3 linked regions of the Oryzias latipes genome follow. The protein of the gene in region 3 interacts with the protein of the main gene of each other region in a biochemical or structural test. Links are inferred from orthologs where the notes say so. Each region holds a gene or a part of one and is shown on either strand. Other genes may lie near its edges. The genes, in order: nck2, ptpn6 and pdgfrb.

Region 1 (4,342 bases), on a different chromosome or scaffold from region 3:
TGACAGACTGGCGACCAGTCCAGGGTATCCCCTGCCTACGCCCAAGTGGCCGGGATAGGCTCCGGCAACCCCGTGACCCCGAAAGGGAATAAACGGTTAAGAAGATGACAGGAAAGATCGGGTTTGTTTTAAAAGAAACGACTAAAAACTAAAAAACGGATCCATTTAATATATGAATAAAAATAGGCAATTCTGAAAACAATATTTAAAACCTAAATGTAGAATTCACACTCCTAGAAGCTTCACAATACATCCATAGTAGAATACAGTAATTATTGTTTACATTTTTCTAAATCACATATTCAAAATCGTGATTGTTGACAATATGATGTATTTGTAAAAAACTCATTTTTGTTATTTTAACTCAAATTAATTGAATTTGACGCACAAATTGTCTTTGGTTTGAACGGACAATCGATTTAAATGGGGGGGGGGGGGGTCATCAAGGGTCATCCGTGATCCGTTGGACCTCTAATACACACCATGCATTTAATGCATGTTAAAGTACCCTTTTTTTTTCTTTTTCTACCATGTACTAGAAAAGGTTTGGTGCAAAAAGTCAAATCTGGTAAATCTTGCTCCAGGTTTTATTTTTTTGTCTTTTCTTTGACAGCTATATTCCAATATATTAAAGACTTGATGCCAGAATTCCAGCCGGGCACAAACCACAATCATTAATTCCTCCTTCATGATCAACTTTCAAACCGTTGGCACTTTCGTGAATTACAAAGGAAACCATATATATGTCACTCCAAAATCCAAGTCCTTGATTGGTCAAAGTTCGACCTGGTTTAACTTCCAACGCGTGTTCATTGTCATAAAAACTTGCGTAGCCAGGCATGAACACAAGAGTTTTGAGCAAAAAAGCCCATAAAACAGTGTTTACATAGACTTCTCATCGAAGGTGTCTGCTTGAAAAACATGTTGCCGAGGGCGATGAGAACATAGCTTAAAGTCAAACTCTGATCATCTTTTGATCTACTGTAAAAGCGTGATGATGCTCTTTTTAGCCAAAATCAAAAAATCTGTGTCGTTTTCTAGGACATAGTTATGCAGAGTGGCAGGAGTTCATCAGAAATTTGCCTCTGAGGTGTGGGCACACAGAGAAAGCCCACCCCCACATCTCGTCATCTATCTGTTTACACTAACTCCCGCTAGCTTAGAGCCCCTCACACATCCCAACCTAACGTTAGGGGTTTCACAAAAAGGGCGGGCAATATTGCAGCTATCCAGCCGTACAGTTCTGAGCCAGATTCCACCTCAGACGAGGTCAACGAAGATGCACAGTCGTGTACTAGTGGAGGCATCAGAATGGAGCAGAGCAGGGAGTTTGTGGCTTGCCGTTGTAAACGCCTACGTCAAAGCAACAAGCTTTTTCCGACAGTAATTTTTCATCGGCTCCTGATTCACAACGATCTGAATAAAGAAATACTCATAAATGCAGTTTTATATCTAAATTTTCTTCATGTATGTCCTCCCTCATGAAAAAAAAAAACAAGAACATATTAAAAAAACTCCACAGTTTTCATCAGAGTGAGTTATTAATAGCTGACAGGGAGAATGGTGTCAGAAACATAGAGGGGGGTGGAAATTCATCTCTAAAACAACATTTCTGCTCCAAGTATCGAATTCCAAGGAAATGATGCAACGGGAGTTTCTGCAGTACAGGACCTGCAGCCTCCTTCCTCATACCTGTCAGTGCGGACTGTAGACCGGGAGAGCGCTTTGCACAGGGTGTGTCTGCAGTAGGTGTGACAAGTCTACCTGAACCACGCAAGAACTTTCAGCACCTTTAAACACCTGGATTTAAATCTGAAAACCCAAATTCTAAATCTAAAATAAAATGTACAAAAATATCCAGCATCAAGTCAGTGAGAGAACAGACAAGGCGTCCTTTGATCCACAGGGGCTGATGAGGCGACAGCATGGTGCAGTTCCCACCAACGGCCGCTAGGAGCACTGACAAGCTCGGCATGTGGCACCAGGCGCCCGGCCGATTTCTGCTGCTTCTTTGGCAAGTGTGCTTCATTGTGTGAGCCGTAGCGCTGTCAGCAGGATCTCGAACCACACCAACCAAACACCTATGATGGCAGAAATTGTTTTCCACGCAAAAAAGTACGAAATTGTAGAACTGAAGTTAAAAGAAACTATTTTAAACAAAGCCGGACCACAGCCTGGAATCCACCACCACCGACCATGGTCTGTGAGTCAGGCCCCTCTAATATTTACTAACCGAAAAAGTACAAATGTTGTTAGTGAACATTTTAATTGATGATTTTAAGTGTGGGAATTTAAACAAATTTATACAATTGTGGGGGTTTAAAAAGTGGTTCGCGAACACTGGAGCGAGATTCGAGCCAAGTCTGTGGTCAGAGTGGACAAAGACCAAGCGTCTCAACGCGAGAAAGTGACACTCCGAGCCTCCCACTCCCACTACGGAGGAAAACCTCCACACATAATTCTGTAGACCAATAAAACCCCTTTCAATCTACGGCACGCGCAGCTGGAAAGAGTAATGTAAGCAGAAGCAACTCACACAGTTGTGTATTTCAGGCTTACCTTACCTTAGTGTTCACTCCAGTCAGAATGGGCAGACAAGCGTCACAGCACAGGGATAGCGCGCGCGGGTCCAACAATAATAAGTGACCAAACCCTCGTCAAAGTGACAAAAAAATTCGTTTAAGTCCTCATCTCCTCTGGTTTATCTCATTTTCTTTCTTCAAACACTGACTAAACCTGTACTGTTCGACGTGTTGTCGCTTGTTTTTCCGTCGCAGGCTGACTGCCTCCGCCTCGATCAGCCTCCTTTCAAGCTAGGAGATACACACTTCTTCACTTCCGTTCCGATTTTTCAAAATAAAGCTAGGTTTGAACAGGGCAAATTCAATTAAAAAGTACAATTTTTGCAAAAACAAGTAAATTAAAATTACATATTAGAAATTTGAAAAATATTAAATGCAGTCAGAAAACACAGTTTAATTAAATATGGTTAAATATTGTTCATGATAACAAACGTGTGCATTTTTCCACATTTTTATGCCTGTGATAAACAAAAATGTACACTGTACTATTATTGCTTTATTGTCTATTCACCACTACTATCTTTATTTAATATATAATTAACTTTTTTCTTTTTTGAAATAGTACATTTTTAGACATATTCAACTTGTACTTCTTCAGGTGTTTTGTCGTCTATTTGACCTATTTTAAATGTCAAAAATGAAAATCTTAGCAACAGCATACAAAAATGTAAAGAAAAGATGATACGAATGTTTAGGAAGAGAAAACTTTGAAACCAAATGAATGTGGAATATTAGCAGAAACATTTATTCTTTCTATTCTTTTTTTAAATTAATGTGTTTTCATTTGCCAATATCTGTCTGGGTGAGGAACATCTAAAAAGAGGTTCTTCACAGTTTAACGGTATATGTGTTTGAAGTGTAGGTGTTTTTTATCATTTTGCAGATGTTTCAGCAGTTTCGCTAACAGCAGTTCCATGTAGTTTACTATTTTCTTTTCTTTTGAAGTCCATATGATGGCATCAAACAACAAATATTTAATCCAGAAAAATTTTCATAAGAATTAAATAAAATAGAAAGATCAACAAGTTACTTTTTTGGTCAATCCCTATCCATTTAAAATCGTATTTTGTTTTGTTTTGCTCTATGGTTACACTTTATCCTTTGTGATGTGGGTAAATGAGTATGCAATTCAAAACGTAAAAAAAAAATCTTTTATTTACCAACTGCTAACGGTCAGAAGTGTATTTACCTAATGGTCATTGAAGCAAGGCTGCAGGCCTAAATGTAATACATGTAAAATTACATATAAATTACATGTAAAATTACATGTATGTCTGTTGGTGAACTGATGTTGTTTATAGTTTACTCGTACCTTAGTTTGGTTATTTTCCTTTTTTCATGCTAACTTTCAGAATCTTTTTGTTAAATCGAGCCTGCTTTTATTTGTTAGGACTCCGCCTCAATTTCCGGTTTGATTCTGATATTCACGTTCAGCTTGATCCCCGGTCCTGGTTGTGACGTCACTAACCCCGGGACGAGAACAGGACAACGCCAGAGGGAAATGGACAGATTGTGGAGGAATATGTCGCCCCTTGGCGATAATAGCGAGAAATAGGAGACGATTAAGCCACATGTCCATTGTTATTCATGTAGATCGCATTTCCTTGCTACTGTAAAGGAAATAAAAATCTTAATTTGTTTAAAAGACATACTTTAAAAAATTAAAATGAAGCTATAGAGGCAACCTTCCTCATACATTCTTCAAACGAAAGGTGCAAAATTGCACAATTTAATCGTGAAAAAGCTGTGTTTCAAAATTA
Region 2 (4,155 bases), on a different chromosome or scaffold from region 3:
CTGGAGAGGAAAAAACAAAAACACCAAGGCCACACCAAGAAAACTGTTAACGGTTTCTTTGTGATGGCAGCAGGTACAAAAGCACCAGGTGAGGACTTTTATACTCAGTAAACCGACATAAACGTGATGGTCCTTTTCAGCCTGGCTACAGCTGCGAGCTTATCAAATATCGAAGTCAATCGATCCTATTAAAAGATTTTTGGCAGCATGTGTAACAACAAATTTATTTTCCATATTTTTAAGCTCAACTTGGGCGGCCAAAGGAGGAGAAATATTAGAAAAATGCGGCTTTAGCATCGGAATAAATAAAAAATCAGATTTAATAGACAATTTTACAAACAAAAATAACATTTTTGGTTCATCAAACTGTCGATCAAGCTTTCAGACTCTTTTTTTTTTTTTTTTTTTTTTTTTTTACATAAAAACATGTTTTTTCTGTTAGAATTATTGTTTTTTAATCCAAATGAAAGGATAAGAATTAACCAAAATGCATTTTTTTCTAAGAAAGTGGCCTTGGGAGTAAGTAGATCATTTAGAGCTGTGCACTTTTTCACACAAAATTGGAAAGTGCTAACTGTTTTCACAAAGTGGAGCTTGGAAAGGGATCTTTTGCTGTAAGAAGTTACAGATAAGACATCTAAAATGAGCAAATCTGACTAATTTTCTGCTGTTGTTCAAAGAAGATGCAACCACGTCTTTTGGAGTTCTGTAACAACCTTTTTTTTCAATCCGCAAAGTTTTATAAATTATAAGAATCGCTTCCATTGCTGCTACTTTTACTCACTTTAAGAAAAGGCCTCCAACAAAACTGGCATGTGTGCGTAGATCATTCGCATCAAAATATAGGCCCTGGCGGGAGCCTGCAGCTCTCAGCTTATTTTCTTATCATCAAATAAAGGCTGCAAAACTTGAAAGAAGTTTTGCAGATGCAGCTCATGTGCTGCATCTGTTCACACCAGACATTACCTGACAGACAGGGAGAAATCTCCAACGTTTTTCTTGCTGGGTCGAGCTAAAAAGCTTCCGTCAATGCCTCGCAGCTTCAGTATTTCCTCAGCCTGCAGGCCTGTGATGTCTCTGTGGAACCACCTGGATCGACGCACAAAGATAGAAAAGATGAAGCACAACAACATTGACCTAGTAGAAGGCATACATGTGTCACATAGATTTAAAATGTACAGCTTTAAATAGACCAAGAAAATCCAGGTGCACGCATACGCAAAAGAGAGATGGGAGTTTCTCGACAAGATCAGGGGTGCAAGAAAGTGTAAAGATGGAGAGAAAAGCTGTACTTTTTAATAAAAGAAGGGAAGAAATTCAGGTGATGATCTTTTAAACATTATTAGGTTTCATTACAATCTTGAGTAGATTCTTTGTAAAAATCCTCAAAATCAACATATTCATTTTTATATTTTTTGTTTTAGAGTCTCAAACATAAATAATACTAAGGCAGAGGGTGACTTTAACGTGATAAATTAAAGGTTTTATTAAAGCCTTTGGTTTCACTGGCCTAAGAAAGATAAAAGACAATTTCATGTGATGAACCACAGTCCAAATCCTTGATCCAATAAGGGTTTAACATAAACCTTCAGAAACTATTTTCACTTTACCTACATGCAATTTGTTGATCATCAGGAAAACAAAGCGTGCATTAGGGCATAGTCAGTAATGCTGACGTACTTTAATAAATTATGTTGCTTTACAGCCTTATTAGCTAGACGAATAACCAGGTTTTTAAAATCTGACATATTGCACAAAAAAGGTTAATAACTGTTTTCGAACACATGATCTGTCTGACACTGTGGAGCTTTGAGGAAACAACAGAACTGAAACCTAAACACTTTATTTATGTCCCAGTCTCTTATACTGAACTTGCAGGGTTTAGCTGACGAGGGATCACAAATGACATGACAGAAGAGGAGCAGGACAGGCCAGCAGCAGGGAATAGACAAAAGGAGGAATGGAAACAGAGAAGTTGTTGCACAAAACACAAAGAACAAAACCAGAGTTTGATGTGTCCGGCAGAGGCTTGACTCACCGAACCATGGCGTCTCCTCACTTTTTCTGGGACTAAAGAGAAGAAGAGCGATTTGGGAAGAGTCGCTTGTTCCTGCGGCACATGTGTAGACTCAGATCACACACTTTGGCGTTGAAAGTTTGTGTAGTTTTTGCAGCTTCCTTACTTTTGGTCTACTTGAATTGTACATTTACCGCAAACACATTTGGTATGTCAAGCGCTAACTTGACCTTCAACTTAAGATATTTTTATCAAGAATCAATTAAATCTAATTGCCTTTGCTCTCCCTCTGGTGTAACACATTAACTTAATACCCACCCCTGCCCCGCCACCACCCACCAGCGGACCGCCGCTGACCCCGGTTCTCAGTCTTCCCTTCAACAGCAAAAGCAGGTAAACACTTACTCTCCTCAGCTGCTCCTGAAAACAACTGACACTGGTCGAGACGTTGACGCTGTATGTGTCTGTCTCCCCTCCTCTGCGTCGTGCTCATACGCTCTCCCCTTCCTTCCTTTCTACGTCTCCTTTCACAAAGTAGTGAAAGCAAGACAGGAACCAAAATAGCTGACAGGCCGGAATTCCTCAAGCAGATAAAGATGGTGTCTTTTTTTTTTCTTTTTCTTTTATTGATGACCAAAATAAAAACGTTGCCAATCTAAGAGCAGAGAAGGCTTCAACTCCATCACCTCCGTCTTCTGGAAAAACAGCTGCAGAGCTTCTTTAGATGACTCCTCTGTTCAGAGCTGTGAGACAACGGCAATTCCAACAGGCGTATGGTTGAAAAACACCCTCCAAAAAGGCAGTTCCATCTCCTCATCAATGCACAAATATGCCCGCTCTTTGTCTAACAGAAAGTATTTGCAAAGTTTCCTCCACCTGTCGGCTGAATCTGCCCTCTGTTCTTTACTTCCAGGTGTGTACGAGTGTGCGAAACACAAAGGTCAGAACAGAACACTTCCTCATTTGAACCTTCCCCCCTCTGCATGTGTGAGGCTGCATGTGTGCGTGTGCTGCTGCAAGCTGATATATCATGTGCTGTTGTCAACTGTTTTAATTTAAAGAACGCCGATCCAGCACCTTGAAAATTGCTGCTTTATCCTTATACGGAGTAAATTATCTGCAGCCACAAACACAAAGTACATATTGTGACTTTTAGGGGAGTTTTTTGTATCCCTAAAAACAACACAAAAATTTGCGTAGAAGCAAATGCACAACAAATGAAAATGCAAATACAGTAGCAATTATTTCATGAATTCCTCACAACCAGATAGCATGTAAGTGGAAAATAATGGTTTCCTACATGAGGTGTAAAATCGTTCAGTGACTAGCGGACTTTGGTGGTTTTATGTGTTTGCAGCAAAAAATTAAAGGAAAAAGTGAATAAGTGTGTAGTTTCTAGTACATGGTGCAGCTCTCCCCGCCCCTGCACCAACAAACACACACATGCAGCCCTGCAGGTGTCGTCGGGGTTAACGCCCGCTATTGTTGTTTGCATTATTTGCCTCACTTGCGCTTTGCAGTCAGACTTGGTTTGGGGTCTCTTTGTTTCTCAGATGTTAAGGCTTCAAATCTCAGACAAAGGCAGACGTTTTTCACACACGTATAGAATGGCTGTACACCTACAGTGATGGAAAAAAGGTTCCTGATTTGATCTTTTCACTTGGGCTATCAGGTTTGCTTGCACTGCGCTGCAAACTGATACTTTGAGCATTTTCTGCCTCATAAAAAAGGTGAACAGAGAAACATCTATAGTTTGTTGATCTTATTAAATGAACCAATCAGTAGGAATAGAATTGATTGAGTGCATGTTTTTTCTTCAGGGAAAAACAACTCCTTTATTTTGATTTTAGATATTTAGTTACTTTAAGCCCTGCAACAAATTGGCTGCTTCTCCAGGGTTTATCCAACAGTAACAGGGATAGGCTCCAACAACCCTATGACCCTGAAAGGGATTCAGCAGGTTCAGAGAACTGATGGATGGATTGTAGCTTTGAAGTCGGTTTAATGGTTGTTGTTACTTTAAATGTTATTGTTGCTTTTGATGTTTAAAAGTCTGAATATCATATTTAAAATGCTGCTATAAACAGCTGCTTGATGGAGAACTGAATTTGAATTGTGCCAGTTCCTGGCAAGCTAAG
Region 3 (3,649 bases):
TGGAAAAAAAGTAAATTGAGTTATTCTTCCTCTTTCCTCGAATAAATACAAGTCATGTTTGAAACTAACTTTTTCAAAATAATGGTTTAAAACAAAATAAAGGGATACGTTGGTGGCGGAAGCGGAAAGATGATTGTTTGATAGCTTACATTTTTGGAGGCGAGAAACTCCATCCCCTTTGCCACCTGATAGCTGAAACCTAGAAGGTCTTCATAGGTGAGGCTGGCACAATCACTGATCACTAAGTCCAGGCTGGTGCTTCCTGGAGAAAATGAGGTGAAAAGACACACAGGTGAGGAAGGAATACGTTTTTCATCCAAAAAACTTGCAACATTCTAGGAAAAATTCTGTATTTTTCTGCTAAAGCATAATAAAACACACATATCCGTGTTTAATCCATAAAAACAGCTGAGTTTAGAACTTCTAGTTCTGAAAGCAGCAGTACGTGGCCTCACATCCTATTTTTCACACATATCTCTCTGATTTTCTTTGTTTCCTGTGTTTGTCATGCTTTGTTTGTCATCCTCATTCACTCCTACATAAATGGAAAATTGATTCTTACCAACATTCAACAGTTGTCTTAACTTAGCAGACATAAATCTAACAGCAGCCGGGGCAAACCTTGATCTTGGTAGAGGTCCTGCTGGTAGGGGGACTCGTATGGAGAAGGCTGGATGTCAGCATATTTGATGGTGTCTATCTGCTCCTGCATGGGCACGTAGATTGACGGCTCATCTTTGCTCATGTCCATGTAGCCTCCATCGCTCTCACTGCCGAAGGACACATAGCTGAAGACGAGAGAAAAGCAAGGAAAAAAAGTCTTAACTGACCTATATCTAAATATGCATTGTAGTGCCTCCTCATGTGAAACATCTGTACATCTGTAACAGGCTCCATTTGTCTACTTCATAAATCCATCTGCAGCAGTTTCTTGGAATGAGACAGGATTCCAAGGAAAAAGTCTGTTTTATAAAACATCTCATATGTTTTTCTGCCCCCCTTACCCTTTTCTCTGACTGAGAGGGGTGCTTCCTCTAGAAATGAGGCAGTCGTCGTACTGGTTCTTCTCGGCGTAGTACTGCAGGAAGGTGTGTTTGTTCCTGTGCAGGTAATCCACCAAATCACCATAGCGACAGTACTCGGTCACCAGATAGAGAGGGCCTGCATGTGGTGACAAAGAACATACACAGATTTATGAAAAAGAGCAGAAAATTGCCTATTAGCAATGCTATTTATAATGAGGACATAATATGAAACTGCATGGAAAATTCTGGGCATGTCACTTTTTGTTCAAATAAAAATAAAGCTGAGATTCTTCTCTGCAGTTAATTGTATTATAACTTTTTGTCATTTCCAATTAAAATGGGTAAATTAACAGCAACCATTAACTGTTAATTAACGGTAAAAATAAATAATCTTTTGCCAGAAGTATAAATATTTTTATTTATTGATTAGCTTTTATTTTACCCACAAATCTTCAGCCTGTTGATGGACCATGTAGCACTTGGAGCAAACAGCAAACAGAACGGAGGTCAAATTAGACTTTTATTTTGGTGAATATTTTGTAGCTTATCAAATACATTTGTTATGATCAAATAGTATGTTTGTGGAATCCCTATTAGAAAGCAGTTATACTATATGTTACAAAATAAACATTTGTTCTAAACAAAAACAAAATTTCCACCATTTTATGAGATACAAGAGCTCTTATTGAATTACAATTTATTATTGACGGGTTTTTCGAATTATTTTCTGCCGCCAAAAGTTTTAAAACTTAAAAATTCAACAGTAAAAGATTGAGGCAATACTATATTAAAGTATTTGGACAAAGGAGAGGCTGTCCAAACCTCTCAAAGAATGAGGAACCCAAACTTAAACATGAACAGAAAAAATGGGAAGGGGTGTCTATTTACTTAAAAATAAAATGGAGCCCGAGGAAAGTAATGCGGCTGATAAATGCGAAAAGCACAGCGTGTACAACCTCAGCATGACAGTTTTTAGTTACTAAAACATTATTAATTTTATCTTCCACAAGAACCCATAACTGTTGGTTATGATATTATCCAGCTCTAGCAAACAAGATTCAAGCTCCTTATCATGAATATAATCCTCCCCAGTGTAGCCTCTGTACAGATCAAATGATAGCCTTATCTTAAAGAACTAACTCAGAAACACACTTTTCTATGATTAAACTCTTCTAGAAATCTCTAAATGGCTGTGATTTCATTGCAAAAATAGGGCTTGCTATGATTCTTACCATGTTTGGTACAAGCTCCGAGCAAGTTGACAATGTTGAGATGAGGACCAAGGTGGCTCATGATCTTCAGTTCTGACATGAGAGCCTGAGTCTCACTCCTCCTAGCAGTGGCTGCACAAAGAAGGGTATAGTAGATGAAATGAGAACAGTAGAAGTGAGAGCAGGACACACTGTTATTGCCAAATTGCTCAATGATCTGTGGTCAGCAGCTTGAATTGGCCTGGCAGTCAAACTAAAGCTCAGCGGGCCGCAGCTCTGCCTGAGGTTGCAGGGATACGACCCCGCTGTCAAGATTTTTTTGACAGCCATGCAGGGGTCTCTGGTTGTTCACGTAAATCACGCACATGGACTTGTCTTGCGTTTTTATGCTTACATTTCAGCATTTTCACTGCCACCTTTGTGCTGGACTGGGAGTGCGTGAGACCGTATGCGGTTGCCTCGACCACCCTGCCAAACGCTCCTGATCCAAGAGTGCGACCTGAGAGACAAAGAAAAGCTCAGAGAGGTGGAGCCAGAGCGAAGAGCACATTAGTGGCAAAACAAGAAAGCCGCTTCTTTTGCTTATCTGTGTCATTTCTGCCGTTGACCAAAGCAAAGTGAGGCTTGAAGCTTATTTCCAGCCAACGATAAAGGCAGACATTATTAATGAGGACATGAATTAAATGTCATCTGGTTAGAGAGGAAAACAGTGAGACAACTTTAAACTTTTGGTTTTTTTGTTGTTGTCACCAATGGCACCAAAACGACCCAGAAAACAACACTTTAATTGTGACTGATTCTGTTTGTTCACCTCTGAGGAACAACAAGCAAAGGCCTGGGCACACAGCTGTAGAATGAAGCTTTAACCAATTCTTTTTACTCCACTTGTAGTTCATCTTTTGAGAAGCGTAGTCTGATGATGCACTGACCTTACAGCTAACTTTTGAGGTTAGCTTGAAGTGAACATGGAATTTTATTTTGAAGGTGAATATTCTGTAGTTTGCCATTAAAGACCCATTTTTATTAACTTTTGATCTTTTGTAAAAGCGTTCCCAGTGGTCTTTTCATTATGATTATGTTGTTTTTGACCAAAATAAAAAAATCTGTGTCATTTTCTACACATCTGTGTCATTTTCTGCAGAGCACAACAGTTCCTTCGAAGTTGTAGACAGGACTGTTGGCACAAAGCAACCCCAACCCCCCTTCCCCTCAACATGGCGAAGCAGGGAGCTTGTGGCCCGCCAAGTGTATTTTCAACATCACAAATAAGCTTTTTTACCAACTGCGTATTTGCGTCTGCTCCGGCTTCATGATTTAACTACAGAAATACCTCAGAAATGTAATTTTAAGCTTAATTTTCTTTATTTGTGACCGCCATCATGAGAAAAAAAGCCACAAGAACGTGTTAAAACA

Evidence for each region.
Region 1: the proteins of pdgfrb (region 3) and nck2 form a complex in vitro, tested with the Homo sapiens proteins (2 studies listed by BioGRID). The link is inferred for Oryzias latipes from reciprocal best matches to the Homo sapiens genes PDGFRB and NCK2.
Region 2: the proteins of pdgfrb (region 3) and ptpn6 form a complex in vitro, tested with the Homo sapiens proteins (2 studies listed by BioGRID and IntAct, with this or other methods). The link is inferred for Oryzias latipes from reciprocal best matches to the Homo sapiens genes PDGFRB and PTPN6.

Annotation. Positions count from the first base shown.
Region 1 is NC_019879.2:10,283,114-10,287,455, reverse strand, and holds the start of nck2 (cytoplasmic protein NCK2), read right to left. Parts: upstream 2,831-4,342; 5' UTR 2,560-2,830; intron 1-2,559. UniProt on the Homo sapiens protein: Adapter protein which associates with tyrosine-phosphorylated growth factor receptors or their cellular substrates. Maintains low levels of EIF2S1 phosphorylation by promoting its dephosphorylation by PP1.
Region 2 is NC_019874.2:20,377,519-20,381,673, forward strand, and holds the start of ptpn6 (tyrosine-protein phosphatase non-receptor type 6), read right to left. Parts: upstream 2,941-4,155; 5' UTR 2,423-2,940; intron 2,111-2,422; 5' UTR 2,047-2,110; coding exon 2,039-2,046; intron 1,090-2,038; coding exon 967-1,089; intron 1-966. UniProt on the Homo sapiens protein: Tyrosine phosphatase enzyme that plays important roles in controlling immune signaling pathways and fundamental physiological processes such as hematopoiesis.
Region 3 is NC_019868.2:16,274,531-16,278,179, reverse strand, and holds part of pdgfrb (platelet-derived growth factor receptor beta), read right to left. Parts: intron 2,736-3,649; coding exon 2,631-2,735; intron 2,369-2,630; coding exon 2,258-2,368; intron 1,162-2,257; coding exon 1,005-1,161; intron 789-1,004; coding exon 622-788; intron 263-621; coding exon 150-262; intron 1-149. UniProt on the Homo sapiens protein: Tyrosine-protein kinase that acts as a cell-surface receptor for homodimeric PDGFB and PDGFD and for heterodimers formed by PDGFA and PDGFB, and plays an essential role in the regulation of embryonic development, cell proliferation, survival, differentiation, chemotaxis and migration.